Linked DNA regions of Elephas maximus indicus. The protein of the gene in region 4 interacts with the protein of the main gene of each other region in a pairwise test. Links are inferred from orthologs where the notes say so. Each region holds a gene or a part of one and is shown on either strand. Other genes may lie near its edges. The genes, in order: EXOSC5, CGGBP1, PGAP6 and REL.

Region 1 (7,738 bases), on a different chromosome or scaffold from region 4:
TGAACTAAGCAGGATGTTGCAAGACTTGAACTTCAGCCCTATCCTTTCTCCTCCTGGCAGCCTGGTACCATGACAAGGAACTGGGCTTTGGCGTCCAGAGCTCCAAGTTCACACCTCTCTGAGCTCAGGCTCCTCACCTTTAACAGAAGGGTACTACCAGTACATCCAGTGCCCATGTTGCTGATGCTGCTATGCGATGGTATTTCAAATACCAGCAGGGTCACCCATGGTGTACAGGTTTCAGCAGAGCTTCCAGAGTAAGACAGACAAGGACGAAAGGCCCGGTAATCTACTTCCAAAAATTGGCCAATGAAAACCCTATAGATCACAACAGAATATTGTCCAATAAAGTGCTGGGGGGTGATCCCCGAGGTTGCAGGACACTTAAAATACACAGCGGCCACAACAATGGACTCGAGCATACCGAAAAGTGCAAAGATGGAGCAAGACCGGGCAACATTTTGTTCTCTTGTACGTGCTGTTACCATGAGTCAGAGCTGACTCAATGGCAACTAACAAGCACCAAAACATCCCTTAAAGTGCGGCTGTATTAAATACAATAGTGGGTGGGAACTGGCACTGTCAATCACAAAGTACTTCATGACATGACAAAGGGCCTGGGTTCCTTAAGAGATCTGCCAACAGGGAGATGGACCCGTACGGTTAGATCGGTGATGACCGGTTCCACTCATCCCACAATACACACTGGGTACCTACCACTTAGAGGTACTGCACAGGGCGCTGAAGCCCCTGGACAGGCTGCCCTTGACCAGCAGATTGCAGAGATACCCGTAAAGTTACTGATAATGAGCACACACCAAGGCGCTCCCTGAGTTTGACAGGATGACTCCAGTCATACCACTTGCTGGACTCAGAGGGGTGAAGTGGCTTGGCCAAGGTCCCACCTGCTTCCTGGGCCTGATCAGGGGCCTGGGGTAGTGGCTCAGAAACTGACCCCTGACTCCTTGACAAGTGAGTTTCCTTCCTCCTCTTCTCCCTGAGCACTGAAGCAGCTACTATCAACAGGTAGGGGAAGGGAGGTGGGAATCGGGTAAACACCCCCAAGGCAACATAGCATACCACGGAGACTGGGAGAAGGGCAGGCAGGTAGGGAGGAAATAAGGCATCCCCGTCCCTCCACCCAACCCCACTGGCCCCTATAACCCAACCTGTCTCCCAACCTTTCCCCAAGGTGCTATCATCTTGGCTCCACCTTAATCAGCTGAAAATGGACTGTTCAATACAGTAGCCACTAGCCATTTCTGGCTATTTAAACTCATTAAAATTAAAGCTCCAGTTCCTCAGTTGAACCAGACACACATCAAGTGCTCAGTAATCACATGTGACAGTACAAATACAAAACATTTCCATTATCACAATTTCTACTGGACAACCCTGGTCAAAATCCTTTTTCACTAAAAGCTACTGCCCCTTCACTCCACTTGAATTGAAAAAAAAAACAAAAAACTAATCTAAGAACAGGTAGAAAAACTAAAAGGTGGGAGGGGTGAGGAATCTAAAAAAAATAGAAATAAAAAACAAGGACTCTGGAAGACACACACACACAATGAACGAGGAGCAAGAAAAGTAGACAGACTGAGTCAGAAGGGAAAACAGAGTTAATCAGTCACAAGTGACCTTTCCCCACTCTTGCCCCAATCTGGCCCATGTCCAGCCTCCCTGGCCCAGCCAATGGGCTACTGGGACTGAGATCAGGCTGTGGGAGAAGTGATTGTTTAAAATCAGCAGAAGAGAAGAGCCCAAGGCAAGAGATTGCCTCACTCTGGATCCTGCAACAGCAACCTTTTCACTTTTACCTGCTTCAGGTGGCTCCCTTCCCAACACCCATGCCTCTCCCCCAGCCAATCCTCTTCCCCTACCTCCCGTTTCTCCCCCTACCTCCCGTTTCTCCCCCTATCCAGAGCTTCTTCCTACAGATTCCCTCTTCCTTTCATTACAGATAGGGAATCAGAGGGTCAGACCCAACCTCTCAACATCTAGATAGATTTCTCCCCAGGGTCCTTGCCTGTCCAGACCCTCCCAAAGTCACCTCCTTCTTTCCCTCCATCTCCAAAGTCGGTTTCTGTCCCTCCCCTCCACCCTTACTTTCAACAGCAGCCAAGATTCCTACTGCTTTTATCATAAGCTAGGCCCAGTTCTTAGCACTTTACACATCTAATCTTCAAAGCAGCCCCATGAAGTGGCCACTCTTAGTATCACCCCTTTACAGGGGGAGAAACTAAGGTCCAGAGAGGTGCAGTACCGGGCCCAAGGCCACACAGCTGGAAAGTGGCAGAGCAGGGCTATGAACCCATGTGGTCTGGCTCCAGGACCTACCCTCTTACCTACTACTCTCTTATTTGTGGAATTTTAGTTCAAAGCTCTTCTGAAGCCCACTGTCTCTCTCCTCTAAACTAGATTTCTGCAGCATGAGCTTACCCTTAGCACCCACCCTAAGAAATTCTGACCCTTAAGAAGTTTCCCGAATAAACCAAACGCTTCGAAGGCCAGTGTAGCAGGGGACCATGGTTTCAGGAGACATCTAGGTCAACTGGCATAATAAAATCTATTAAGAAAACATTCTGCATCCCACTTTGGAGAGTGGCGTCTGGGGTCTTAAACGCTAGCAAGCAGCCATCTAAGATGCTTCAATTGGTCTCAACCCACCTGGAGCAAAGGAGAATGAAGAACACCAAACACACAAGGTAATTATGAGCCCAAGAGACAGAAAGGGCCACATAAACCAGAGACTATACCAGCCTGAGACCAGAAAAACTAGATGGTGCCCGGCTACAGGCGATGACTGCCCTGACAGGGAACTCAACAGAGAACCCCAAGGGAGCAGGAGAGTAGTGGGATGCAGACCTCAAATTCTCCTAAAAACACCAGACTTAATGGTCTCACTGAGACTAGAAGGACCCCAGAGGTCATGGTCCCTGGACCTTCTGTCACCCCAAGACAAGAACCGTTCCCAAAGCCAACTCTTCAGACAGGGATTGGACTAGACTATAAGATAAAAAATGATACTCATGAGGAGTGAGTTTCTTGGATCAAGTAGACAGATGAGACTATGTGGGCAGCTCCTGTCTGTAGGGGAGATGAGAAGGCAGAGGGGGACAGAAGCTGGCTAAATGGACACAGAAATAGAGAGTGGAGGGAAGGTGTGCTGTCTCTTTAGGAGGAGAGCAACCAGGAGTACATAGCAAAATGTAAGTAAATTTTTGTATGAGAGATTGACTTGATTTGTAAACTTCCACTTAAAGCACAATAAAAATTAAAAAAAAAAATCCTGACCCTTTTGACAAAGAACAAAGCATTTCTCCAGTGTCTGTAAGAAATGTGGGCAAAGTGCACTGTTCAGATCCCTCTCTTCTATCCTCCTCATTAACTCAACAAATATTTACTGAGCATCCCCTCTGTGCACTGACTAGAACAGACAAGGTCCCTATCTCGACATTTGATCAGGGGAGAAAAGAATTAAAACGACTTTTTCACACGATTCATTTTCATATGAGAATTGTGGCAAATGCAACAAAAAGGGTCGCTATGAGTAGGAACCTACTCGAAGGCAATGGATTTGGGCTTTTTGGTTTTATAAAAGCCCAAAGGAGCCCTGGTAGCGCAGTGATCAAAGCGCTCGACTGCGACCCAAAAGGGTGTCAGCGGTGCAAACCTACCAGCCGCTCCGCAGGAGAAAGATATGGCATCTGCTTCTGTAAAGATTACACCCTTGGAAACCCTATGGGGCAGTTCTACTCTGTCCTGTAGGGTCGCTATGAGTCGGAAACAACTCGATGGCAACGGGTTTGGTTTTGCTTTATAAAAGCCCATGACAGGGGGATCTGGTCTCTCCTTCCTCTTTTATAAAGGGAATTCTTTACCCAAAAGAAAGACCTTTCCTTACTAAGGCAGTTTCATTCCCCAACCTTTGAGGGGAACTGTCTCGCCTTCCCCCATCCTTCCAAGCAGACGCGCTGGGGGTGGGGCACAACTCATAAGGAGTTCTCCTCCCTCAGAACCCACGAAGGGGCTGCCTCGCTTTTCTTCGCCCAAGGAAGTGGAGGTTCTTTCCTTGAGTGTCCTCTCCACGTGGTTTTCCCAGCCCTTGTCCTTTCCCTGACTGTCCTTTCTTCACTCTCTGCAAGCACCTCACATTCTGAATGAAGACAGCGTCTATATGCCTGTTCCCACTTAGAGAAAACTCCTCGGGGGCCCCAGGTACTCACAGAGCAGGCCACTCCCCGAGCCCCAAGTCGCCTCAGAAGCAGTAGGCCGGCCCTGCCCAGGCCTCGACTTGGCCCCCAAAACCTCGTCGCAGCTACCGCCACCGCCATCTTGGCTAACAGCTGCTCCTTGGCTCTCCTATCGCCTCGGGTCAGGGGCTGCCACTTCATGAGCCTGACTCTGCTGCCTGCACCACCCTGCCAAGAAACCACCTGCTTCCGCTTCTGGCGACGCTAGGACGCAGAGATGAGTTTACAAAACAATACAGCTTCCTAAAAAAGTCTCCGACCGCCTTACTGCTGTTGCTTCCGTAACAGGCAAAGAAGAGGGCTACCTAATCATAGCCTCAGGGTTTCAGGGCCCGGGGGCCTCGGGAAGAAAGCGACCATGCCAGGCTCCGCCCCTTCTCCGCTGTCCAATGGCTTCCCTGGAGTTGAGAGGCGGGGGTGGGCGGGGCCAGAGTGTTGGTAAACGCTGAGCCACGTGCAGCCGCCAGACGCAGCGCCGGGAGATGGGCGCGTGCGTACTGGATGGGTAGCTTGTACGCAGGCGCGCATGGCTGGGCGGAAGCTACAGTGGCGGACTGCACGTGGAATCCCAAGTGATGGAGGGGGCGATGCAGGTAGACACCCAGATCCGTACTGAGCCTGGGGCTGAGGCTGGCCCCGGGGGCCCCGGCTGCAGCCTCCGACACTTTGCCTGCGAACAAAATCTGCTGTCCAGGCCGGATGGCTCAGCCTCTTTCCTGCAAGGTAAGAACCCAGGTCAATACTGCCCGGGAAGAGTTCGCGCATGCGGTGTTTGTTTTTGGCGGGGGACGGCTACAGTGTACCGTGCAACGAGGAGTCCCTTTTCCCCACGATACTAGCTGGTAAGTGTCTCCCTTGTATTGTGTCTCCCGCGTGGATACTGGTTAGGCCGGGATAGATCTCTCCCTCCCGACTAGAAGTGGGAAGGTATCTCCACCCTCGTAAATACTTTGCAGGATGAGGGAAGGGCAGTCCTCCCCATAAGAATGAATACTCCAAAATAGGGAAAACTTTCTCATGGGGTAAGTAACTCCCTGTAATAGATTCGTCCTTCCTCACCCCACACACAGCCCGGGTCCATATATTCCAGGCTGAGGCAAACCTCCCATCTGTATAAATACCCCATAGACTGGCAGATCACCACCACGAGCTAGACCGTAGCTGTGGCAGCCTTTTATCCTAATAATTACTGCTGGGTTAAGAAAGATCTCCTTCATCCCAGCTCCACCAATTGTGTCAACACCCCTTTGACTGGGATACACATATCTGCATATGAGTAAAGATTGGGGCGAGTTATAGTTATTGGACGAATATTTTTTTCCTTGAGCTAAATACTTCTTAAGTTAGGCCTGACTCCCTGACCAAAACTGATTAAAAAAAAAAAAATCCCTGCTCTCATAGGGTTTACATTCTAGTGGGGGAGACAAACAATAAATAAGAATAATAAGTAAAACATATAGTAAAATGCTATAAAAATAAAGTAGGGAAGGGGAATAGAGTGTGCTGCAGAGGACTAGAATCTTAAATAGGATGGTCAGAGAAGGCCTCACTGAGGAGGTGACATTTGAATAAAGACCTGAAGGAGGCAAGGGAACAAACCTGAAGATCTCAGGAGGAAGAGTATACCAGGCATGGGGAACAGCAAGGACAAAGGCCCTGAGACAAGACCTTGTTTGAGGAACAGTCAGGAGGCCAATGTGGCTGGAGCAGCAAGTGGAGAGGAGTTAGTGGGAGAGGGGGTCAGAGGGTGGTAAGGAGAATTGCTGATGATATAAGGTCTAGAGAGTGAGATGGGAGCCATTGGAGGCTTTGAGTGAAGGAGTGCCATGGTCTGAATATATGAACAGTATCACTCTAGCTGCTTGCTCTGTTGACTGGAGGGAGCATAGTAGGGAGGAGGTGGTGATGGCTCAGACCAGGGTGGAAGCAGTGAGAGCCTAGATGCATTTTGAAGGTAAAAACCAACAGTATTTGCAGATGATTTGGTTTGGAGATACTAGAAAAAGAATCAGGGAGGTTTGAAAGCCACTGTTCTAGTCAAGCTTTGGGCTTTTCTCCAGATCAGCTGTGACAACAGAAGATAAGTTCAGTCTGGAACGTTATGTTTGCAATACCAGGAGTCCCTGGGTGGAGCAAACGGTTAAATGCTGTGCTACTAACTGAAAAGTTGGGGTTCAAGTCCACCCAGAGGCACTCAGAAGAAAGGCCTGGTTTTCTGCTTCTGAAAAGTCAGCCACTGTAAACCCTATGGAGCACAGTTCTACCCTGACCCGCCTGGGCTCGCCATGAGTTGAAATCAACTCGACTGGTTTGGGGGTTTTGGTATTAAACATCAGAGTGGAAATGTGCAATGGGCAGTTGTTGATACAATTCTGGAATTCAGAGGAGAGAGCCAAGTTGGGCATATACGCTTTGGAATCCTCTGGCTGTAGATGGTGTTTAAAGCAATCGATTGGATGAATCACTCCTGAAATGAGTAGAGATAGAAATGGGAAGAGGTCCTGGACTAAGCCCTGGTCTTCAGCTTTGAGAGTTCATGGACATGTGAGGAATTAGCAAAAGAGACTGAGAAGGAGCAGCCTGTGAGGTAGGAGAAAAACCCGGAGAGGGGGCGGACCTGGAGCCAAGAGAAGAACGTGTTTGAGAAGTAACGGTAGACAGCCTTGTTGGTCCTACTGAGAGGCTGGGCCACGCGAGCACAGGAGACCTATGGGTTTGGCAGTTTGGAGGTTCGGGAAGGTGACTCTGCCAAGGACTGCTTTAGTGGAAGGATGGGGTCCAAAGCTTTGTTATTCGGTCAAGGAGAAGAGGAGGAAGAGACAGGGAGTGAAGGCAAGTCTTGGGGAGTTTTACTGTAAGAGCATCAGATAAATGGGGCTGTGGTTGAAGATGGGAGTCCCCGGGTAACACAAATCATTCACGCTCTCAGCTGCTAACCGAAAGGTTAGACTTTTGAGTCCACCCAGAGGTGCCTCAGAAGAAAGGCCTGGTGACCTGCTTCCCCAAAATCAGCCACTGAAAACCCTGTGGAGCACAGTTCTACTTGCCATGAGTCAGGACCAACTCCACAGCATCTGGTTTGTTTGGGTTTTTTTTTTTTTTTTTGGTGAAAGTTGAATGTGCGGTGGAAGGAGGAGAGAATCGCAGGAGCTGGGTTGCTTGAGGGAGCCCTGGGGGGCATGGTGGTTAAACCACTTGGCTGCCAACCAAAAGGTTGGCGGTTCGAACCTACCAGTTGCTCTGCGGGAGAAAGATGTGGAAGATTTACAGCCTTGAAAACCCTGTGGGGAGGTTCTCCTCTGTCCTGTAGGGTCGCAGTGAGTTGGAATCAGCGTGACAGCAGTGGATTTTTAGGAGCTGCGTAAGAAGGTGCAGGGGGGCACAGGCAGGATATCCAGAGTAACGGGCATGAAGACCTTCCCCGAGGATCTAGCCTACTCCCCTAACAAACACCTTCATGGCTCCCCTTGGAGTAGATTTCCTGG
Region 2 (7,233 bases), on a different chromosome or scaffold from region 4:
ATCAACCCATTATAAAAAATTTTTTCAATATACTTATATAGCAACAAAATAAGTTAAATTATTACAACCTTCAGGACTCAAGAAAATCTTCACAACACCTTACAAGTCAGAGAGACAATAATTATCTGTTTCTTGAAATATTTTTTACAACTCTGGAATAATGAAAGAGTACTTTTTATATTGTTTCCTCCATGACTCCCTGAGTACTTCCAGTAAATTTATTCCCTTTGCACCACCTTGCCAAGTAATTAATTCAGTTTATAATTACTTGAGGATTTATTTGTAATCTCAGTCTGGCTTTCAACAGAAACTGAAGGATGAGTTCAAATCCCAGCTTGTTCACCTAACAGAATTTAGACAACTTAAATTTGTTCTGGCCTACCTAAAGGGCTTTGTCACCTAACAGAATTTAGACAACTTAAATTTGTTCTGGCCTACCTAAATGACATTAAGAGTTAGTAAACTCTCGATAAACTATTTTTCCCATCTTTTCATCCTCAAAGCATAATGAAATATCAGGGGCTAATTCTACTGAAACATTTTTTGAGAGTCTACTAACAACAGCCAAGGGAGAATGTGATAAGGGCGGCCAGTCCAACATTACCAACAGCATTTAACTATTCGGAAATCAACACTTTCAATCTCCTACATCTATCGTCTCAAAAATCATTTAAGCCTAGGGAACTACTCCTTTTACCTGAGATTTTACAATTACTGGTAATGTTTCTCAAATAGAGAAGTATATCATCGAATGCATTGGATGTGTGTATAATGTATCATTTATATTATCTATCTTTCTTTCGTCTTCTGCTTTATTTTTCCTTGTAGTAAAAGACACAAGAACTTCTCTTGAAAAGAACTGTTCCTTCCTCTCTTCCTTCACCTACACAACTGCCAAGAAATTTTGATTCATATTTCCCTCTAAAGAGGGAAGACAAACTGGAGCCTTTCTTCTCAACTCAAGGCTAGTTGTATAATCCATATCTTTAGTTAACTGTCACCTACCTAAGTGCATATTAACCATTTCAGGATTACACAATTAAGTCATTTTACTAATGAATGCAACTTGCTTCATATTACCCTCAATAAATATTAAGACACAAATGTTTAAAAAGAAGCAATCTTTAACTGGAAATTACATTATAATCTACTGCTAACCTTATTGTCAAATAAAACTGAGAATTTTATAATCTATTGTCTTCAAGTCAATTCCAACTCCTAGTGACCATATAGGACAGAGCTGAACTGTCTCATACGGTTTCCAAGGCTGAAATCTTTATGGAAGTAGACTGCTACACCCTTCCCCAAGGAACAGCTGGTGGGTTCCAATCGCTGACCTTTCGGTTAGCAGCCGAGAGCTTCGATGACTGCGCCACCAGGGCTCCTATAAGAATAACTATACTAGAATTTTATTAATCAGTGGACAAAATTCAACTGATGAAGGTAATCTTTTTTTTCCATCTACAAGTTTTAATACAGAAAAGGGCTTCACAAAGCTTACATACAAGATGGTGCTAGGACAGGAACCCTGAGACAGATCTATTGATAACCTAGACATCATAAGGTTTCAGGTAAAAGTTGGTAACATGGAAGTTTGTCAGTGTAACACTCATAATTTAGCAATATAAAATGAAAAGTCTTTCAGTTCTGTTTACTTTTATGTCCTTGGATATTTAGGAAGTAGTGGAATTTTATAGTCAATCTTATTTGTTCTTAATGTTTATTTCAAAAAATAGAATTAGAGTAGTAAAAATTCTCCAAGTAAACTTGACCCTCAAATAAAACCTCAAATTCTACAGCAGTTAACCATAAACGACTTAATTGTGAATAATCATAAAATGGAGAATACGCACTTAGGTAAGTAACAGTTCACTAAATATATAGATAACCATCTGATCAAGTAAACTAACAAAGCTAAATGTAACCAAAAACCAAGCTGCTCATTTATAATACAAAAACCAAAACAGAAAAAAACAGAGTTTCTACCAGTCAATATATGAAAAAGATAAAAATGTAACCTAATTTTCAGAAGTTTAAATTGCCTGTAGATACTGAGTCTACTGATAGCATGGTTTGGGGAAAGCCATGAGTCAGAACTGATTTCAAGGCAACTCATACTGGTAGTTGTGAAACCTATAGTTAGAAAGCAAGTGCTCAACAAACAATGAACCTTTAAATCCAGTGAATATCAATACCAAAAATAAAATACATTTTCAAGAAAGTCACCAAATACAAGGCAGCATCAATGAAAAAGGACACACACTTCATACCAAACAGTTTCCACCTACAAACCAACTTAACTGTGACACTGGTCAAAAGAAAAATGAAATCAAGAGACAATTTAAACTAAAGCATTAAAAACTTAACTGAAAATGTCAACTCCATCCTTTTAACTACTCTTATACTGTTTCCTGAAAGGCAGTTTAAGAACAAATAAGGCTATTTTATAAATGCTGGAAAGGGCATAAAATCCAGTGTCAGTGAACATGATGTCCATTTCTTCTTAACTTTAAGTCCTGCTTGTTATCAGAATGAAATTAATAGCTAACTGATTCAAACTCATTTACCTACTATCCCTACCAGATGAAAAGAGAAAACTGAGGCATAGAGAGTTTAAGTAACTTGTCCAAGGTCACAAAGCTAGGAAGTGGTGAAGCCAGGGTCTGAACCCTATAAAAAAATATACGTATGATAAACAAAGGGGGGAGGGTGGGAAAGAAACGATTCTTTTGCAAAACAAGAGTATTGTGTATGAGAACAAAACGTTTAAATTATAAATACATGCTGATTTAAATGCAGATTACACAAATTTTACCCTAGATAAGTACTCTGGCGCTGTAATATTTTACTACATTTAAATACTTTAAGCTATATCAAATCGACAGTCGACAGAATAAAGAAAAAAAAAATTGTACCGTCATCGTTCGAACACTGTATTTCAAAGGCTAAAATACACTGTAACGTGAAAGACAAGGGTATGTAACTAGAGCAATAGTCTAAGGAAAACGACTTTCTTGCAGAGCAGTTAATTAGGAGAGAGAGTGAGTGTTTAGGGGAAGTGGGAGGAAGCGAGTAAGAAAAGATGACAATCACACAGCCTTAACCCACCCCTCCTCCAGCCCCAAAAAGTAACCAAGTCACTGTGGGTCAACACTGAAGCCAACCGAAGAAGTGGCCCAACGGGATCTTGAGAGGGGATGACAGGAGACCCTAGGAGAGGGGGAGGGGAGGCGGTGACAGGAGAGGGGGCAGTAGAGAGAGGGCATGCCTTCCATCCCAGAAAAAGGGGAAAATCCTGGGGAAAGCGGCAGAGAAGGGAAAGCAGGAAATGTCACAGAGGGTCCAAATGAGGTGAGGAAAACAGCGTAGGAAACACAAGAAAGGCGGGACCCTCGGGCAGGAAGGGGTCTGTCTGGGGCATAGGAGGCATGTCAGTACAGAGCTTTCCTGCCAGCTGACCCTGCCGCCCTCTCTCCAGCGCCTCTGACAAACCCTCACTTCTCGACAACCCTAAGCCCGCAGGTCACCACGGTCCCGCTCCCCCACCCCCCACCCCAAGCCGGATAGGTGGAGGGGGGAGCGTCGTCCTCACCCTCCTCGTGGGCTGGAAGAACTAGCACCGGACAGAGCCCAGGCTAGGGGGCGAGATGGCCAGGAGACGCAGGGAGGCCCTGGCCGGGGGTGACGAGACGGGGCGGCCGACGGGCGCCTCACCTGACAGAAGCGTCGGCAGTAATCCCGACTGCTGATTCCGACGCCGCCGCCGCCGCAGCTGCCGCCGCCAGCGCCGCCTCCGCCGTCACCCGCAGCTCTAAGCCTCTCAGGCCCCGGCGGGGACTCCACAATGGCCACGAGCTCTTCTCCGAGGCGTTCGGCCTCTTGGTCGCTCTCTTCCTCCGCCATGAGGCTCTCGCCGCCCAGCGCGTACCAGCCCCTGCGCCGCCGCCGCTGTAGCTGCCTTGGCTAACCTCCTCCTCCTCCTCTAGTTCCCTCCCCCTTCTCTCCCCCCTCCGCCGGACAGGGGCCCCACGGCTGGGCTCTACTTCCGGCTCCGCCCACCCACGCCCCCAGCTTTCATTGGTAAAATATGCAGTCAGTCATGTTTATGCCCGCCTTTCCACTACCATTGGTCAAGTCAGCCGCCTGTTTGATAGGGACGCTGTCCGTTGGTCAATACCGCTCGGCGGTTGCTGGGGCCCGCCTACCGGGCTCTGCCATAGGCGGCGCAGGAGGACGGGGCGCGGCGGGGGACACGGCGGCCGCGGCGGGGCTCGATCGGGCAACGGCGGCGGCGACGGCGGCAGCTACTAGTTCTCCTCCTTCCTCATCCCTTTGCTCCTTATCTTCCTCCTTTCCTTTCCGGCTGTGTCTCGTCCACTTCCCCTAGCGGCAGCCCCGATCCTACGGTACCAAGGAGCTGGGGAGACCGAGGGTGGGCCCGGCCGTTGGTGCGGGCTGTGGGCCCCGGGCCTTCCGTCCCGAAGCGGGAGCTGGGGGCGGGGCCGTGGCACCGTTGTCGGCGGGAGGAAGAGGGAGGAGACGGGAAGCCTGACAGCGGCCGCCTCCGCCTGGCGCCTGCCGCCTCCTCCCGTGAGACTACGGCCAACTCCTGTCGAGTTCCCGGGCCTGGGGCAGCTGGGACTCGGCCCTGCCCAGCTAGCGGGGCCGGGGCGGCGGGGCGCCGGCGTGCTGGGTTCGACTCGGGAGGAGGGAGTCAGACGCTCGGGAACGTCTCGAGCCCCGCCTTTCCCTCCCCCGCTCGAACCCCAGGGCCTGGGGAGCGCGAGAGGATGCTGGAGGGACCTGGGGATCGGGGTTGTGGGGTAAGCGTTGGGATCGGGGTTTGTGGTGGGGAGTTGTTTTTAGAGACACCTGCCTGGTAGTTGTTGACGTTCCTGGTCATCTTTTCATCCACCTTTCTTTCCTTCCCCCTGCCCTTCCCCCATTTTTTCTTTCCATTTGTTTTTCGTATTTTACAGTAAAGGCATGACTTTCCGGTACCGCAGGGAAAATAGGGTGCAAGCCCAGAAACTGTTTCCCCATCACCACTTGTTGAAAAACTGATTTGGAGGCATCTCCGGGTTTGAACCAACGTAAGGTGCCAGGGATTGATGCGCCTCTGGTTTTGCTTGGAGACCGTTCACTACTAAGTATCAGGACGTAAACAACTGGAAACTAATCCGGTAAACATTTTCAAGTTCCGATGAGTTTTATTTTGATCCAGCGAAGGATTGGCTTCTTCTCTTTTGTTGTCTAATTCTTGCTCTTAACTTTTTAACGGCCTTGTTTGTTTAAAAATATATATATCTTTTGCTGAAAACACTTTTGTTCTTTGAGTATGTAAACCCGTGCATTCTCTGACCTTTTGGAAGTTAAAAGACATTGTATAGAACTTTCACATTAGCACATGGGATTGAGCATTTTACACATTAAGGAATTATGTGCCTGTTGATTGTTTCACAGTTTAAAAGCTAAATATTTAGAGGCAGAAGATTTTTCATGTAGAAAGTAAGATTTAATTATCCCTGGACAGAAGTATTTGATGTTTTGCGTAAGTAGATTAGAACCATTAATCATATTTAGGATTGACTCACCGTAGGAGTATAAAACATACTGTAAAAGTACAAATATGTGTAATAGTAATTCACTGACTACTATGCAAGAATCATACTTGTTTTGCCTGCCATTGTAAAGCCATGGCCTATCACATTGTTCCACACATAAAATCCATGTATGAAAAAAATCTAAAGTAAAAAAAAGAAAAGAACATAACCCAGGGTATTTACATGTTAGAATTTATCATGCTTGCCAGAATTTCTGTGAAATATTGAGTTATTCCCTGGATTCTTTGTATCCACAAGTGTTAGCAACTTAAAGTTCTTTTGAGAAAGATTTTATGTTATAAACAAACCTGTTGTGGTCCAGTCCGTTCCAACCCACGGCGACCCCGGGTGTTACAAAGGAGAAGTGCTCCATAGGCTTGTCCTGGCTGTAATTCTTATAGATCACCAGGCCTTGCCTTCCTGCCACCGCTGGTTAGGTTCAGGCTTTGCTAGCTGCTCTCTACTGTGGATTCACAGAGTACTACATTGTTTCTGGAAACTCTGGTGGCGTAGTGGTTAAGTGCTATGGCTGCCATCCAAAGGGTCAGCAGTTCGAATCTGCCAGGCACTCCTTGGAAACTCTATGGGGCAGTTCTACCCTGTCCTATAGGGTCGCTATGAGTCGGAATCGACTCAATGGCACTGAGTTTGGTTTTTGGTTTACATTGTTTCTGATTAGACTTAAGAAGCGTGGTTTTTCAGAGCATACATTGGAAGTATGTTTATACAGAACAGAATTCCATTTTTAGTTCTATCAAATGTATTTTAATTTCTTAAACCTAGATTAACGTAAATATTTATAAGTGCTTAGCCTGAAGTCATGGCCCCAGGTAACTACTAAGATGTAAGTAATGATTTTGAGTACTTGGCACAGACTAACATGTGTTTATTAGCTCAAGTTTTCAGTGCTTGTAACATGATTTTGGCACTTAGTTCTATGAACATAAAAGTTTGCTGCTAGAACCTACTCAGACATTATTAAGCTGCATCTGAGTTAAATAAAAATTTGGATAGTGAAGATTTTTCCATCAGCATTTTTTGATTGAGCATCTATCATATGGTAGGTGCTAGGTTAAGTTCTTGATTTTTTTCTTTTAACTTACTAGTTAATAAGTGAAGTAAATATTAATGCCATGTAATTGTTAATATTAAAGAAACACACGAAGTATTAGAAAAACACTTTCCATATCTTGATTATAATCTTTTAGAAAACTTAGGAGAGGTATAAATGCATTAAAAAATAACTTACTCAGAACTTTATCTTTGCTTTAAAATTTAAATCCATTTGGTCTGTGTTTCTTAGTTTTTACTTTTTTGTCATCACAGCAGTTTTGAAAATTCTGTTCATATAGAATTACGCCAGTTTAGTGGCCCACCTGTTTAAACAAACTTCGTACACAATTCCCCACAATTTTATTCCTGAAATCAGTTGTCATAGGGTTATGAAGGGAAAGAAGCTTTTTTAAACTTGGATAAGATTAGTAAACACCCCAACTGTTGATCCATGATTGGGTTTTCCTAAAAGATAGTAGTATCTGGGACAGTTTCAGTTTTTTATTCATTCTAATTGATTTGAATTTCATAAAAACCAAGAAATGGGCCTAATTGTTATTTTAATAGTAACTTTATC
Region 3 (7,253 bases), on a different chromosome or scaffold from region 4:
GAGGCAGGCTGCTCTCCTCCTGGGGTGCCACACTGTGCCTGTGCCAGTGGCCGTGAGCAGAGGTGGGGGGCTGGGAGGACGCCTACCCCCCCATGCCTTCAGCTAGCCCTTACCAGCTTTGCAGCTGCAGCCTGCATACAGGTAGCCGTGTCTGCGGAGCAGAAGGCACTGGCCGTAGGGTCCACAGTCGTTCACACAGGGCACCAGGTACAGGGTCATCTCTACATGTACCTTGTCCTGCTCACACTCCCTGTGGGGGGACACACAGGAAGGCAGGCGGCTACCTGTCAGTGTTCCTGCAGACCCATGGACCCCCGAACCCAGAAAAAAGCCCCACGCCCATCCCTGGTCTGACAGTCTGGAGCCGTAAGCTCTGCCTCCCCTCTCCCCACGAGGCCCAGGAATCCCTCCAGGGCTCCATGCTGGTCCTGGGGCTGCTTCAGGAATGACCAAAGGGCAGGCAGGTGGCCAGCCCCAGTGACGTGGCAGTACTCCCCCCCAGGCCCCAGGTTCACTCACTTGGGGTTCTTGGGACACATGAGCTGCAGGGATAGGTACCAGTTTTCTGTCTCTGGGAAGGGGACTATGAGGTTGGCCTGCCGGGATGTGGCGCTCAGGGTCAGCGGGTGGCCCTGGAAGAAGGCTGGGGGAGGAAGGCCTGGTCGGCGGAGCAGGCCAGAGTACTCGGCCTGGAACCACTTGCCGCCCACCAGCCCACACACCTGTGGTACAGTTGTGCGAAGTATTAAAGCTGAGGAAAGGGGAGGCGGCATTCACGCAGGCCACCACCAAAGTGCTGTTCTTGACCATGGTCTGGAGGAAGGTGGTCAGAGTTGGCCCAGGCCCAGAGCGACCCAGAAAGGCAGCGCTGACGTCCACCTGAGGCCACTAGTGTCTGCCTGGGATACCTGCCTGGAGCCTGCCTCTCAGATTTCAGCCCACCCCACTGCCCCAACTCCTCAGGTGTAGCCCGTCCCTCCAGCAGACCCCCATCTGGCCCAACACCTGGCTGGTGTCACCTGGTTGCCAGAACCCTGTCTCTGTGGATAAAATCAGCTTGAGGCAACATTACCCCAGCCAGAGCCCCTGTGGGCCCAAGTCATCCACAGACCAGCCCTGGGGAGTAGGGGTACCTTGTTAGCCCGCAGTGAGATGGTGAGGGAGCCTCCGCTGTCCATGCCCGTGTTAAGGTACAGCTGCAGCACAGAGGGCACGTCGGGCCACACAACCACAGAGACCCTGTCCAGAGGCCGGAAGCGCACAGACACCACATCCATGTCTTCCCGCAGCACAGGGTAGCTCATGAGGCAGCAGGAGTCACTTGCTCCGCCACTATGGTTGGGGTCCTGGGGGCCATTGGAGACATTATGGCTCTGGTTGGGGCTGCCCTGTAGGTGGTGCTGGGTGCTCACAGTCCACGGCCTGCAGGCTGCCAGAGGACAGGGTCAGCTAAAGATGCAGCCAGGGAGAACCACCCCTGCCTGCCCGCCACCCATGCAGCCCACCTGTGAGGGTGGCCACGGCATTGAAGGCCACCATGACGTGGGGCCCCACCAGGCTCTCAGCTGTCACCTGCAGCCACCGGTCCCAGGGTGGGGAGTGCAGCAGCAGGCGGCAGGGCAAGGGGTGGCCAGTGCAGCTGAGCACCCTCCGGAAATCACTAGGCAAGGTGACCGAGCCCACGGCCAGGCGCACAGGGCAGGCCTGGCTCCCGTTGGAAGCACAGTCCTGCAGCTCAAGCAGCAGCTCTTGTGTGAACTCAGGGATGAAGACCCTGCAGGAGGATGGGTGGCTCTGGAGCTCCCCCCAGGGGGTGGAGGGTAAACAGGCAGGGCGATGTCAGGGGCCAGACGTCTGCCCACTCTCACTCCCAGAGAGATTACTGGCCAAGGCGGTGCCACCCTCTCCCCCATCTGCAAGGGTTCAAACATCCCCACACCTGCCTCCCCAGCCCCTGGCTCACTTGAGGTAGCTGGAGCGTGAAAGAAAGAGGGTCTGTGGTAGGGGCATGTCAGGCTCCAGCACAGAGATTTCAGCTGCCCGCAGGACCAGCATGTCTGGCTGGAAGATGTAGGCACAGGAGGGGACGAAGCCCTGGACAGAGAGTCAGGTTGAGAGGCAGGAGGGCTGGTTGCCCATTCGGCAGCCAGAGCAGGGGAAATGGTCCCTCACCTTCACCTGGATCTTCTCGGGAGAGGGGGGCAGGTGGGCAGCCACAAACCAGTCCCCAGATGCTGGATGGGAGACGTTGACAGAGGCGTTGCTCTGTAGCATCGCACTCAGCAGCATTCGCACTTGGAAGGAGGGTGGCACTGAGGTGTTGTCAGGGAAGCTGGTGTTCAGGGGATTGATGACTGGAGGAGCGCCATAGCGGAAGTGTCTAGGGTGGGACAGCAAGGTGTCAGGGTGCAACCTGGCCAGCTTGGGGTGTGGGCTGGCTGTTGGGGCACAGGCAGGGCAGAGAGGTGCATACACAGTGATCTCCACATCTGAGCACAAGGGGCCACTGCCCCGGGACACTTGCAGCAGCCAGCGCAGCAGGACAGTGGCTGGAGGCACCCGGAAGCGGAAGAGCCTGGCGCTGCCGTACCAGCTGTAGAAGGAGAGCTGCTGCGGGGTCTGTGAGAAGAGCTCAGACACGAGCCACACATCTGCAGGGACATGTGCTGCATCAGCCCGAAGGCGAAGATGACGTTGGCAAGATCTCTGCAGCCCTCTGGCCCCTGGCACTGTCTCTGGCTGGCAGAAGCCCAAGATGTTAAGTGTCCCCTCAAGCCCCCCATCCCTGCGCAAAGTCTGCAGATCCAAAAGCAATGCTCCACCTGGGGAGCAGCGTACCTTGTTGGCCCACATGGCCCCCTTCACAGCCTCAGACTCAGAACATCTCAGCTCTCTCTGCCTCTTGCTCCAGGTGCTCATCTCCCTCTCCCTTCATCTCATACCCATGTCACAACTTCCAGAACAACCACCTGCAGCCCTCCCAGCACCCACCCCTTAAAAGCAGGGGTAACCTCAGAGACCCTGGCTCCCAGTCCGCCCCAAGCCCTGCTCCCTCCCTGCATGCCAGCCCCTGGCTCATGTTAAAGAATGTGGCATGGTCATGGTGAGTCCTGTCCCTCCTTTCATCTGCCCTGGGCAATGGGCTCCAGGAACTCCCCCCCCAGAACAGGCACTTCCTGGGCACTCTCTGTACTCGGTGGGGGTGGGGTGGGGTGGGGGGAGGCGGTAGCCAGTCAGGCCTAGGATCTGGCTCTATGCCTCATGCCCAAGTGACCTTGGGCCGTGCCCTCCCCTCTCTGGGCCACCTGAGGTGAACGGCACCTCCCTCCAGCGCGCCTCCCTTCAAGGCTAAAGAGCTTAGGGCAGAAGCAGGAAGAAGTACTGTGGACGCAGCAGGGTGCGACGGCTCTCCTTTAAGCTGGGTGCCCCCGGCCCATGGCTGCCAGGTAGCCTCCTTCTGTCCACAGGGGAGCTGCAGGCTCAGGACCCTCCAGGGGAGCACGTGAGGGAGCCAGACGACAGCCAGTTCTCTTGCCAGCCTCATGACCACTCCCTCCCCCCAGTGGAGGAACTGGAGAAAAGACAACAACAGCCAGTGCCAGCTCAAGGAGCCCACCAGGGGGGCCGCCAAAGCCACAGGCCCTGCCCACCAGGGTCCCACACATCAGGCCGGGCACCTGGGCACTCCTGAGGCCACTGCTGCCCCCGTGATGACATGATGGCACAGCTAGAACCTAAAGTGCTGTGGTTGGGGCAGACCTCCTCCACCCTAGACCCCAGGACCTCTGGGGGGCTGAAACTTGGCTGCCTTCCATCCCCCAGGTGGAGGGGACAGGAGCTTCAGGAACAAGGCCTCAGGCCACTTCAGCTTGGAATACTGTGGCCTCCTAGCCTGACCAGCCTCAGAGTATACCTGGTGCTCAGCTGAGAGCTCTAGCTGGTACACCAGAGATGGGCTCCAGGACTCCTAAGCCTAGCCCCCATTCCCAGTGTATAACATGGCCTCCCCTGGCTTTCCAGCCGAGATGCCCACAGTTATCTTGGTGAGCATGCCAAGTAGTTACTGAATGTGGAGGTCACAACTCTGACCCCAGGGAAGATGAGGGGGACCATCCTGCCCCACCTACACTGGCCTCCAAGGACACAGGTTGAGGGCTGGAGGGAGCAAGGAAGAAAGTCTTAAGCCGTTCCTGGGATGCAGAGTGAGGGGAGCCCCAAACCAGGGCAGTCTGCTGGGAAAACCTCCCAACCACAGACCCCAAAAACATGGCACCTGGGCAGGCAGAGGCGGAAGGGGCTGAGGGGCTCAGTCCTCTGGGAAACCTTTCATTTCAAGCTGTACCAAGCTCAGCACCAGAAGACACAACCTCAGAAGAAACAGGAGCTCAAAGGAGCAAGATTTCAGAGAAGGCAGGGGAGGAGCCAGGACCCAGAAAGTTGGGGCCCTAAGCAGAGAGGCCCTGGCCATGTTGTATGCTGGGAATAGGGGCTGGGCTTGGTGGGCTTGGGAGTCCTCTAGCAGGTTTCTTACCTCTGGTGTACCTGCTGGAACTCTCAGACTGGCCTCCCTGGAGCTGCCTCTGCCCCCACCGGCTCCCATCTGGGTCCATCCAGCCTTGGGGCAGGAGGCAGGTACTCATCATCCCATAGGTCCAGGGAGATCCTGCCCCATGCAGAACTCTGAGGGAATGGCACCCCCCTCCAGCCACCTCCTTGGGCCTCAGTGTGGGTGAACTCACTCGGGGACAGAAATGCCAGGCACCCAACAAGTTCCCAACCTACTCTCCGGACCTACCCTGGCCCACGGTGTTCCTTGGACAGGGCCGCCCAGAGTCCAGCAGGGCCTCCAGAGAAAGTAACTAGGGTCGCAGTCGCCCTGAGTCCGGGATGGACCTGAGCTCTTCACTCTTTAGCTCCTGCTCTGGGGTCTAACTGAGCAACTTTCTCCCATCTCCGCCCCACTCCCGGGCCAGGTGGGCTCTGGAAGCCGACTGCCTGGTTCCTTCCCGAGCGGGTCTCCAGCTGAGTCCCAAGCTGAGTCCTCTGGTCCCCTGCACCTCGGTGCCGGGCGCCTACCCCCAGGAGGAGGGCGGGAGGGCATGTTCGGAGCGGTTCGTCGGCCCAGCCGGGCTCTGGGGACTCAGGGTGCTCGCTGAGCGTCCTTTCCACCGCGACCGCTTGGACGCGGGGTGCCCCAGCCAGGGTGGGAAGCTCGGCCCTGCGCAGCGCCGGCGAGCGCACAGGTACCTCCAGGTGAGTCACAATCCCGGCCCCACCCCGCCCGCGCCTCTGAGATGGCGCTCCCCGCCTGCCCCGTAGCTCACCGCTCCTCCGGCTGTCGCCCGCGCCGGCGGGCGGGGGCCGAGCGAGCAGGAGCAGCAGCAGCAGGAACGGCCCCGCTACTGCGGCCGCCGCGCCCCCGGCCCCGGTGCCAGCCCGGCCCATGGTTCCGTGCTCCGCCGGGGCTACCTGGACAGCGTTCCCGGCCGCCCGCCCCCGCCGCCGCCCGGGCAGCCGCTGCCGCCACGGCGGCTACAGCCACCGCCTCCGCCGCCGCCTCGGGCTCTGCTCCGGGCTCCCATGGTCCCGGCGGGTCCCGCCGCGAGCGCCCCGGGTACTTCCGCCTGCGAAGCCCCGCCCCACAGGCAGCCCGGTCCGAGGCGGGCGAGGGGCAGGGGGGAGGCAGGCGGGGAGGCCGGGGACATGGGGGGCCGGCGGAGAGCGCGCGCAGAGGTGGGGGTGCGCCGGGCGGGAGGGTAGCGTGTAGGGAAGCGGGTCAGAGGGTGGCGCGGGTAGAGGGCGGACAATGACCCGGCGCGCGGTTTGGGTAGCAGGGAGGGATGGGAAGGAGGGTCACGCAGTGCGCGCGAAGGAGGTAGAACAGAGGGGGCCGCTTGGGACGTGGGACTGAGGGGGGTATGGAGCGGGAATTGGAACGCACTGGAGATGCGAGAGGAGAAGCACCCCAAACGCTTCCTTCGGGCGCTGCGAGTCCACCGGGCAGAAGGGTCTGTGAGTTCGCGTGCACCCCGGCATAAGGACGGCGGAGTAGGATGTGGCGGTCTCGTGGAGGCCCGTGGAGGAACGGCAGCCTCTACCCGGGACCCGACGGAGTTGCCCCCACCCTTCAGCGGAGTTCTGCTCCGCCCTCGTAGACCGGGTTTTAGACTTCCAGAGCTGGACTACCCAGGGCTGGCCTCCCGCGCCCTTCAACCACAAATCCTCTAGGCGTGTGTTCGAAACGCACACCTGTATGGGAAGATGAAAGAGATGTATGCACCTGTGGGAACTTAGTACACATCAGTGAGTGGGACTAACACCCGTACACCAGGGTAGATTGCAAATTGCTTAAAGATTTAAGCAAAAAGAAACGATAAGTCAGGATAAAACTTGGGGAAACTTTTTCAGCCTTGGGGAAGAGAAAGCCTTTCTAAGTATGACACAGAATCCTGAAGACATCAGAGGCAAGACTTAGAAATTCAACCTTGTGGGAATCAAAACTTTCTGCAGAGCAAAACTAGCATTAAAAAAAAAAAAAAAACAGTGCCATCGAGTCGATTCCGAGTCATGGCGACCCTATAGGATAAGCAAAGTAGAAACACAAGCCCTAAACTGGGGGGTGGAGGATGACAAGCTTGTGACTCTTACCACAAACGGCTAATTTTAATAAAATTAAAAAATGAAGATCTTAATAATAAAGCAGTCCTACAAATCAATAGAAAAATACCAACACTCCAAAATAAATAAATAATTAAAGGTTACAGTTACAGAGTTCCGGAAAAGGATATGCAAATGTTAGACAGGAAGGTGTTCAGCCTCGCATCTTAAAACCAGTGCCATTGAGTAGATTCCGACTCAGAGTAACCCGCCCATCTTAGAAAAATGCAAATCACAACAAATTGAGGTGCCTTTTTATTACCTTACAAATCGATGGTAGACCAAAGAGTGATCACACTGTATAGGCCCACAGATGTTATAGTGGGGATGTGGTTAGGATGAACCTCATGGAAGCCTCTGACACATCTACCCAAACAACCCAATACTGGTAACACAAATACCAAAATAACCCAGGCTGTGTGAGCCCACACCCATGCATTCTCCCTGCGGATGCATTCACGGATTGTCTGACACAGCAACATCACTGCAGTGGGGAGGAAACACGCAAGTGCTGGCCGTTAGACAACTGGGCATTTGCGTCATGAGTTTCCATCCCATGAGATAAACACCATGATAGAACGTGGCTGCAAATGGGA
Region 4 (7,614 bases):
GCCTTCTTTGGTGAAGTGTCTGTTCATATCCTTTGCCCATTTTTAAACTGGATTATTTATTTGCCTATTGTGGTAGAGGTGTTGGAGTTTCCTGTAGATATTTGAGATTAGGCCTTTGTCAGATTTGTCATAGCCAAAACTTTTTTGTGTGTAGGTTCTCTTTTTACTCTTTTGATGAGTATAAGCATTTAATTTTTAGAAAATCCCAGTTACCTAGCTTATCTTCCAGTGTTTGTATATTGTCAGTTATGGTTTGTATTCCATTTATGATGTATATTAGGGCCCCTGGCACTGACCCTATTTTTCTTTTTATCATCTTCATAGTTTTTGGTTTTATGTCTTTGGCCCATTTTGAATTAGCTTTTGTGTATGATGTGAGATATGAGTCCTGTTTCATTTTTTTTTTTCACAGATGGACATCCAGTTTTGCCAGTACATTTGTTAAAAAGACTGTCTTTTCCCCCATTTAATGGACTTTGGGCCTTTGTGAAAGATCAGGTGACTATAGGTAGATGGATTTACATCTGGGTTCTCAATTCTGTTCTTTGGTCAATGTGTCTGTCATTGTACCAGTACCAGGCTATTTTGACTACCACAGCTGTATAGTAGGTTCTGAGGTCAGGCAGTACGAGGCCTCCTACTTTGTAGTTCCTCCTCAATAATGCTTTATTGCTCCAGGGCCTCTTTCCTCTCCATATAAAGTTAATGTCTAGTTTTTCCATCTCATTAAAGCAAGCTGTTGGTATTTGGATCGGGATGCTGCTGATGGTTTTAAAGCACGAGAGTGATATGGTCAGAAGTGCGCTCATACAGATGACTCAAGCAACAATAGGTCTGAATGGTTTTGTGGGGGGGGGCAAAAATGTAGACAGACGTTAATAGGTGAGTATTCTAATAGTTCAGGTGGGGTATGATGATTTGAACAAGGGCAGTGGCAGTCACGAGACAACAGGAATGGCTTCCTATTTGACTGGGAAAATCAGCAGGATTTGGTGACTGGATGTCATGGGGGTAGGAATGATTTGAACAAGGGCAGTGACAGTAGTGAGAGCGAACGGGTTCCTCTTTGACTGGTAAAATCATGGGGTAGGTGAGAGGGTGGTGAGAACGAAAGGAGGCAGAGACGGCTCCAAAGTTTTAGCCTATGTTTCTGAGCCCAGAAAACACGAGAGGAAGAGCAGCTTTAGGAGAGAAGATGTTGGGTAGGCTGAGGCTGGGATGCCTACGGGACTTCTAGTGAATGTGTCTAGCAGACAACTGGATATAAGGGTTTGAAGCCCAAGGAGAGGTTCAGGCTGGATATATGGTCCTGGGTCCATGGGTAAAATCAGGAGAATGGATGAGATCACCTAGGGAACAGGTGCGGGTTCAGACGCTTAGGTATTATACATATTCCCTCCCATCCAACCTAACTTTTCCTACCTTTTTGTCTTCTTTTTCAAGACAGTATTGCTCATTGCTATTCCTTGGGCTATGTAAGAAATATTGTACTGACTGGTCTTCTGCAAAGGACTTCTTTAAAGGGTTCAAAAGCAAAAATGTGACCTTAAACACTAAGGTGCGCCTGACCCAAGCCATGGTGTTTTCAATTGCCTCCTATGCATGTGAAAGCTGGACAATGAATAAGGAAATCCAAAGAATTGATGCCTTTGAATTGTGGTGTTGGCAAAGAATATTGAATATACCATGGGCTGCCACAAGAACAAACAAATCTGTCTCGGAAGAAGTACAACCAGAATGCTCTTTAGAACAATGGTGAGACTGCGTCTTCCATACTTCGGGCGTGTTGTCAGCAGGGATCAGTCCCTGGAGGAGGACATCATGCTTGGCAAAGTACAGAGTAAGCAGAAAAGAGGAAGACCCTCAATGAGGTGGATTGACACAGTGGCTGTAACAATAAGCTCAAGCATAACAACGATTTTAAGGATGGCTCAGGATCGGGGAGTGTTTCCTTCTGTTGTGCACAGGGTCGCTAAGAGTCAGAACCGACTCAACAGCACCTAACAACTGACTGGTCTGATATTTATGACCACAAATCTCAAATGGGGATTCAATACAGCCAGGTATACCTTCTAAAACTTCACTCTCAGAGACCATGTTTTCAGTTTCTGCCCTTCACCTTATACTTCATTTTTTTTTTAAGGCAATCTGACTGAGTACCCCGTCTTGGTACCACCAAGTATACTGGGCTCTGTGCATCTGTAACCACCCACTCTGTCTTCCTTCTTTTACCCACAGAAGAAAAGTCTCCATTCCAATTGGTGGCCCTTCACCTGTGCCCTGGATTTCATCTTGTCTCTCTTCCTCATTCAAGTAATTAACCCCCTTTCTCTCAATCATCATCAATTTCTCCGTCACTACTGAATCTATGGAACCAACAATACCATTAAGTTCAAGGAACACCTAAAACCAATCAATTCCTGCAGGTGGAATATGAAAAAACACAAAGTATTTTCCATTCCTATCTGTCTCTCACCCTTCTAATCGATTCTTAAACATCTGTGCTCAGTCTGCCCTTACAGCTCTGACATTTGGGATTATGAGGATAAATAAAATCTAAGAAAAACTTTTAATTAAAAAACTTCCCTGGTGCCAAAAAAAACAGAGACCTTCCCCTCGCCCCCCTCTTCTTTAGAAAATTTGATTTGTAAATGCTTTCTCTAACTCTTTGAGAAATACGTGAATCCTTTTAATCCTCTTGGCCAGTTCTGATCCAAAGAAGGTCTTTCTTGGTGGCCTTGAAGGCATTTCTTTGAAATAGGAACATAAAGGAGGATAGCACCAAGTCTTCCTGTCTCTGTAGGAGTTTAAGCCAAAGGGGTTGGCTCCAAGATGTAACTCCCTATTGCTGAAACGATAGAAAAAGTTTTGTTTGCTTTTTTTTCCCCCTTTTGGATAAGACAATTAACAGGTATGTAATGGATTGTATTTGTCTGGCTATATAGAAGGGTGAAGTTTTTTTTTGTCTTTGCAGTCTCTTTAGCAGATTGCCTATGATGTACGTCACAGTGTGATTTAATATTTAGGATAAGACAATTAACAGGTATGTAATGGATTTTATCTGTCTGGCTATACAGAAGGGTGAAACCTTTTTGTCTTTGCAGTCTCTTCAGCAGATTGCCTATGATGCATGTCACAGTGTGATTTAATATTTACTCAGTAGTAAAAGTGCTACAGTCTTCTCTATTTTGTAGGAGGATACTGGGGTTGGCAGGTTTTAATTTTCCAAATAGGGTCCTCCCATTTAGAACACTTACTCTAGGCTGATACTCTCTATTCCAACTCCATACATTTGAGGCAATAAGAGAGAGAGGACTAACTCAGAACTGAAGCCACTCCTGAAGTCCACCTTTCAGGCCTATAAAACAAATAACACATGTGAGGAATGTGTTTCTTAGTTCAGTCAAGTATAGAGACCAAACGGGCAACACCTACCCAAAAGCAAAGAGGAGAAGGCAGGAAGGAACAGAACACTGGATGAATGGACATGGAGAGCCCAGAGTGGAAAGAGGGGGAGTACTGACACATTGTGGGGACTGCAATTAACATCACCAAACAACTGGCGTATAAATTTTTTGAATGAAAACTAATCTGCACTGTACACTTTCACCTAAAACACAATTTAAAATTAAAAAAAAAAAGGGGGGGGAGAGCGTGGAAAGAACATGAAGGTTTGGATTCAGACTACCTTAGGTATAAATTCTTTTTCCTTCTAGCAGCATTCTGGCCTTTGGACAAGTTACTTAACTCTCTGAACCCCGCACCTCATCTCTAAAACCAGGATACTACTACTTCACAGGTGAGATAAACTATCTGGCCCGGAGGAGGCTCTCAGCAAATGCGGGACACAAAGCTATACTGGATTCCTTCAACTCCGAATGGTTTTCCATCTCCCCTTCCTGCTGGGCCTCTCCGTTAAATCCCAGGATATGGGGTCCACCCAACGGCGACTCGTTTTTCGCTCAACTTCCACACGTAACGACGGGGCAACTGCTCCCCAGAGCACGAAATCGCGGCGCAGGACTCTGACTCGAAAGGTTTTCGTGGGTAAAACTCGTAAAGTCAACTCGGTGCCCTCGCAGCTTAAAGACAGAGGGGGAAGCCACACTGCGGGGGAGCCCCACGCAAACGAAGATCCCGCACGGAGAACAGAGGCGCCGGCCGCGGCCGCACCCCTCAGCGGCGCCTCAGGACGCGCCGCCTCACCGCCGGCCGGGGGCGGCCATTTGCATGTACGAAAGCGGGAAAAGGGGGAAGCACCGATCGAAAACCCCAGGCCCACCTCCCCCGAGCCGCCGGCCCGCCCCGAGCGCCCCGGCAGGCCGGCCTCCCGACGTCACCGCTCCCTCCCACCCGCCTGTGAACTTTAAACCACGCTCGGCAGAACAACCCGGAGGAGGGGGATTTCTCGGCGGCCCGCGGCCTCGGCGCGCGGCCGGCCCCTCCGCCTCCCGGCGTCCCCTGCGCTCCCCAGGATCCTGCGCTCCCGGCTCCCCCGGCCCGCAGCCCTTCGGGGGCGCATGCGCGGGGGCGGGCGCGCGCACGGGGCGCAGGGGCGTGCGGACGCGCGCGGGCCGCCGGAGGCCCCGCCCCCCGCCCCCGGAGGACGCGGTGGCGAGCGGCCTACGTCAGCGGCGGGAAATCCCCCTCCCGCCGGGCTGCCTGCCTCTCCGCGGGCGGGCGCTCGGCTCCCACCGCGCTCCGGCACCCTGGACGGGCGACGCCGGCTGACCGGAGCGCGAGAGCTAAGGAGGTGGGAAGGTGTGAGCCGCAGAGCCGAGGAGGGCGGGAAGGAGGAGGAGGGCCCGGGAGTGGCCAGGGAAACTGGGGTCCCGGCGGCAGAGGGCCGCGACCGGCTGACTGACTGACGCGCTCCCTGGCCGCGGCGCCGTCCGGCCCGGACGCTTGGAGCTGCCTGCGGGGCGGCGCGGTGAGCGGAACCATGGCCTCCGGTGAGTGTTCCCGGGGGGGAGCGAGGGCCGAGGTCCCCGCGGCAGGGTCGGGGGCAAAGGTCGCCCCGGGGCTGCTACCCGGGTTTCGGGGGCTCTCGGTCTGCCGGGCTTTGGCCGCGGCGCGTTCAGTCTTTAAAATCGCGTCAGCCGGCAAACCGTCCGCCCTTTGAAAAGTGACTTGCTTGAGGATTTGCGTGCGAAGTGACAAGCTCGCTCGGTAGTTGGGTCCCATTGTTGCAGCTGGAACCTTAGGAGTTGCCGGCGGCTTGGTGTTGGGATCGGGGCGGCGGTGGTCGGAAGGGAGACGGGGGTTCTCGGGGGGATTCGTGGTGAAATGGTGGCTCCTGCCTCAGAGCAGCAGCGGGGTGACCCCGTGTCGCCGGGAGCTGCCCCTCGGGTGACCCCACCCCCATGTCACCAGGTGACCCCACCCCATGGTGACCCCACCCCATGGTGACCCCACCCCATGGTGACCCCACCCCAGGTGACCCCTGTGTCGCAGGGAGCTGCCCCTCTGGTGACCCCACCCCATGGTGACCCCACCCCAGGTGACCCCTGTGTTGCAGGGAGCTGCCCCCCAGGTGACCTCACCTCCAGGTGACCCCACCCCCAGGTGATCCCCGTGTAGCCGGGAGCTGCCCCTCGGGTGACCCCACCCCGTGTCACCAGGTGACCCCCGTGTCGCCGGGAGCTGCCCTCCAGGTGACCTGACCCCCAGATGACCCCACCCCAGGTGACCCCCATGTCGCCGGGAGCTGCCCCTCAGGTGACCCCACCCCCAGGTGACCCCCGTGTCGCCGGGAGCTGCCACCCAGGTGACCCCACCCCAGGTGCCTCCACCCCAGGTGACCCCCGTGTCGCGGCGGAAAGGCGCCCCGAGAGCACATCCGAGGGCGAAGCCGGGTGCCCCCCTCCCGGTCGGCTTTCCCCTGGGGCAGGAGGGAAGGGGGTTCGGACCCCAAGCCCTTAAGCGACGGCTGGAGACAGACCAGCTCCTGCAGCTTCTGCAGGGCTCACCTCTCGGGAGTGGACGCCTGCCGGTAGCTTTGTGGGGCTGTGGGGTGGGCGAGGGCGTCTGCAGTGCAGGAACGGGGCCCGGGGGGCTGTGGGGTGGGCGAGGGCGTCTGCAGTGCAGGAACGGGGCCCGGGGGGCTGTGGGGTGGGCGAGGGCGTCTGCAGTATAGGAACGGGGTCCGGGGGGCTGTGGGGTGGGCGAGGGCGTCTGCAGTGCAGGAACGGGGTCCGGGGGGCTGTGGGGTGGGCGAGGGCGTCTGCCGTGCAGGAACGGGGTCCGGGGTGCTGTGGGGTGGGCGAGGGCGTCTGCCGTGCAGGAACGGGATCGGGGGGGCTGTGGGGTGGGCGAGGGCGTCTGCCGTGCAGGAACGGGGCCCGGGGGGCTGCGGGGTGGGCGAGGGCGTCTGCCGTGCAGGAACAGGGCCCGGGGGGCTGTGGGGTGGGCGAGGGCATCTGCCGTGCAGGAACGGGGTCCGGGGGGCTGCGGGGTGGGCGAGGGCGTCTGCCGTGCAGGAACTGGGTCCGGGGGGCTGTGGGGTGGGCGAGGGCATCTGCCGTGCAGGAACGGGGCCCAGGGGTCTGTGGGGTGGGCGAGGGCGTCTGCCGTGCAGCAACGGGATGGGGGGGTGCTGTGGGGTGGGCGAGGGCGTCTGCCGTGCAGGAACGGGGCCCGGGGGTCTGTGGGGTGGGCGAGGGCGTCTGCCGTGCAGCAACGGGATGGGGGGGGTGCTGTGGGGTGGGCGAGGGCGTCTGCCGTGCAGGAACGGGATGGGGGGGGTGCTGTGGGGTGGGCGAGGGCGTCTGCCGTGCAGGAACGGGATGGGGGGGTGCTGTGGGGTGGGCGAGGGCGTCTGCAGTGCAAGGCCAGGGGACTGGAGACCCGTTGGTTTACGCTTGACCCCGCCTCCCAACCCCCTGCTCCGTGACCCTAAGTCCAGGCTGATACTTAACAGAAGAGGAAGTAGAAAACTTAAAGGATCTTTTTAAAGGGTTGAGCAGAACAGTGCTGCAGCCACTACTCTAAGCTGAAAAGGAAATAGGGGTGTTTCATGTGACGTTTGATTTCAGTTTGTCTTTGTGGTTTTCTTGTGAGAACACAAATATGGTTTAAAACTCTCCACTTTCCCTTTACCCATTTCAGTGACCCCGAACTTTCAGTTAATGTTCTAAGTTCATAAACTCAAAGCACATTTAGATTAAAAGCACAAAGATGACTTTGAAATATTTGGTTAATTTATTGGTTATCAGAAAGATGTTTTATGGAAGTGGTGAAGAATGACAAGCATTACAAGGAAAAGGTCAGCCTGATGTCGATTTAATCAAACTTTACTAATTTACTGCATGAATATATTGTGATCTAACTCTTGCAAGAGAAAAAAATTAATTCTCTATAGAGTAGCATTCTAAGACCCACATGATTTTAAAATGTGATGGAATTTAAATTTGTTTAATGACATTATATCTTCTGCTGTTATGAGGACTAAGAATTCCCTAAACTGGAGGGAGGAAACTTTTAAAGTTTTGGAGGTTTGGAAGTTGAAAAGTGATTATCTTACTTTTTTTTTTTTTTTTAACATTTTCTCACGAGTTAGATTAAAATAGGACTATTTAAAATATGTTATTTTAAAATGTAATCCAGTTGTTTGAA

Evidence for each region.
Region 1: the proteins of REL (region 4) and EXOSC5 interact in binary tests that used the Homo sapiens proteins (3 or more experiments, as listed by UniProt). The two-hybrid records come from large-scale screens. The link is inferred for Elephas maximus indicus from reciprocal best matches to the Homo sapiens genes REL and EXOSC5.
Region 2: the proteins of REL (region 4) and CGGBP1 interact in binary tests that used the Homo sapiens proteins (3 or more experiments, as listed by UniProt). The link is inferred for Elephas maximus indicus from reciprocal best matches to the Homo sapiens genes REL and CGGBP1.
Region 3: the proteins of REL (region 4) and PGAP6 interact in binary tests that used the Homo sapiens proteins (3 or more experiments, as listed by UniProt). The two-hybrid records come from large-scale screens. The link is inferred for Elephas maximus indicus from reciprocal best matches to the Homo sapiens genes REL and PGAP6.

Annotation. Positions count from the first base shown.
Region 1 is NC_064829.1:109,789,889-109,797,626, forward strand, and holds the start of EXOSC5 (exosome complex component RRP46), read left to right. Parts: upstream 1-4,733; 5' UTR 4,734-4,828; coding exon 4,829-4,976; intron 4,977-7,738. Other genes in the region: BCKDHA (2-oxoisovalerate dehydrogenase subunit alpha, mitochondrial), read right to left, coding at 4,227-4,394. UniProt on the Homo sapiens protein: Non-catalytic component of the RNA exosome complex which has 3'->5' exoribonuclease activity and participates in a multitude of cellular RNA processing and degradation events.
Region 2 is NC_064836.1:60,696,633-60,703,865, reverse strand, and holds the start of CGGBP1 (CGG triplet repeat-binding protein 1), read left to right. Parts: upstream 1-4,215; 5' UTR 4,216-4,823; intron 4,824-4,979; 5' UTR 4,980-5,183; intron 5,184-7,233. Other genes in the region: ZNF654 (zinc finger protein 654), read right to left, coding at 3,715-3,903. UniProt on the Homo sapiens protein: Binds to nonmethylated 5'-d(CGG)(n)-3' trinucleotide repeats in the FMR1 promoter. May play a role in regulating FMR1 promoter.
Region 3 is NC_064830.1:57,666,466-57,673,718, forward strand, and holds the start of PGAP6 (post-GPI attachment to proteins factor 6), read right to left. Parts: upstream 3,011-7,253; 5' UTR 2,920-3,010; coding exon 2,474-2,919; intron 2,381-2,473; coding exon 2,173-2,380; intron 2,095-2,172; coding exon 1,964-2,094; intron 1,775-1,963; coding exon 1,506-1,774; intron 1,430-1,505; coding exon 1,134-1,429; intron 814-1,133; coding exon 723-813; intron 644-722; coding exon 520-643; intron 251-519; coding exon 114-250; intron 1-113. UniProt on the Homo sapiens protein: Involved in the lipid remodeling steps of GPI-anchor maturation. Lipid remodeling steps consist in the generation of 2 saturated fatty chains at the sn-2 position of GPI-anchor proteins (GPI-AP).
Region 4 is NC_064844.1:1,354,762-1,362,375, reverse strand, and holds the start of REL (proto-oncogene c-Rel), read left to right. Parts: upstream 1-4,604; 5' UTR 4,605-4,942; coding exon 4,943-4,952; intron 4,953-7,614. UniProt on the Homo sapiens protein: Proto-oncogene that may play a role in differentiation and lymphopoiesis.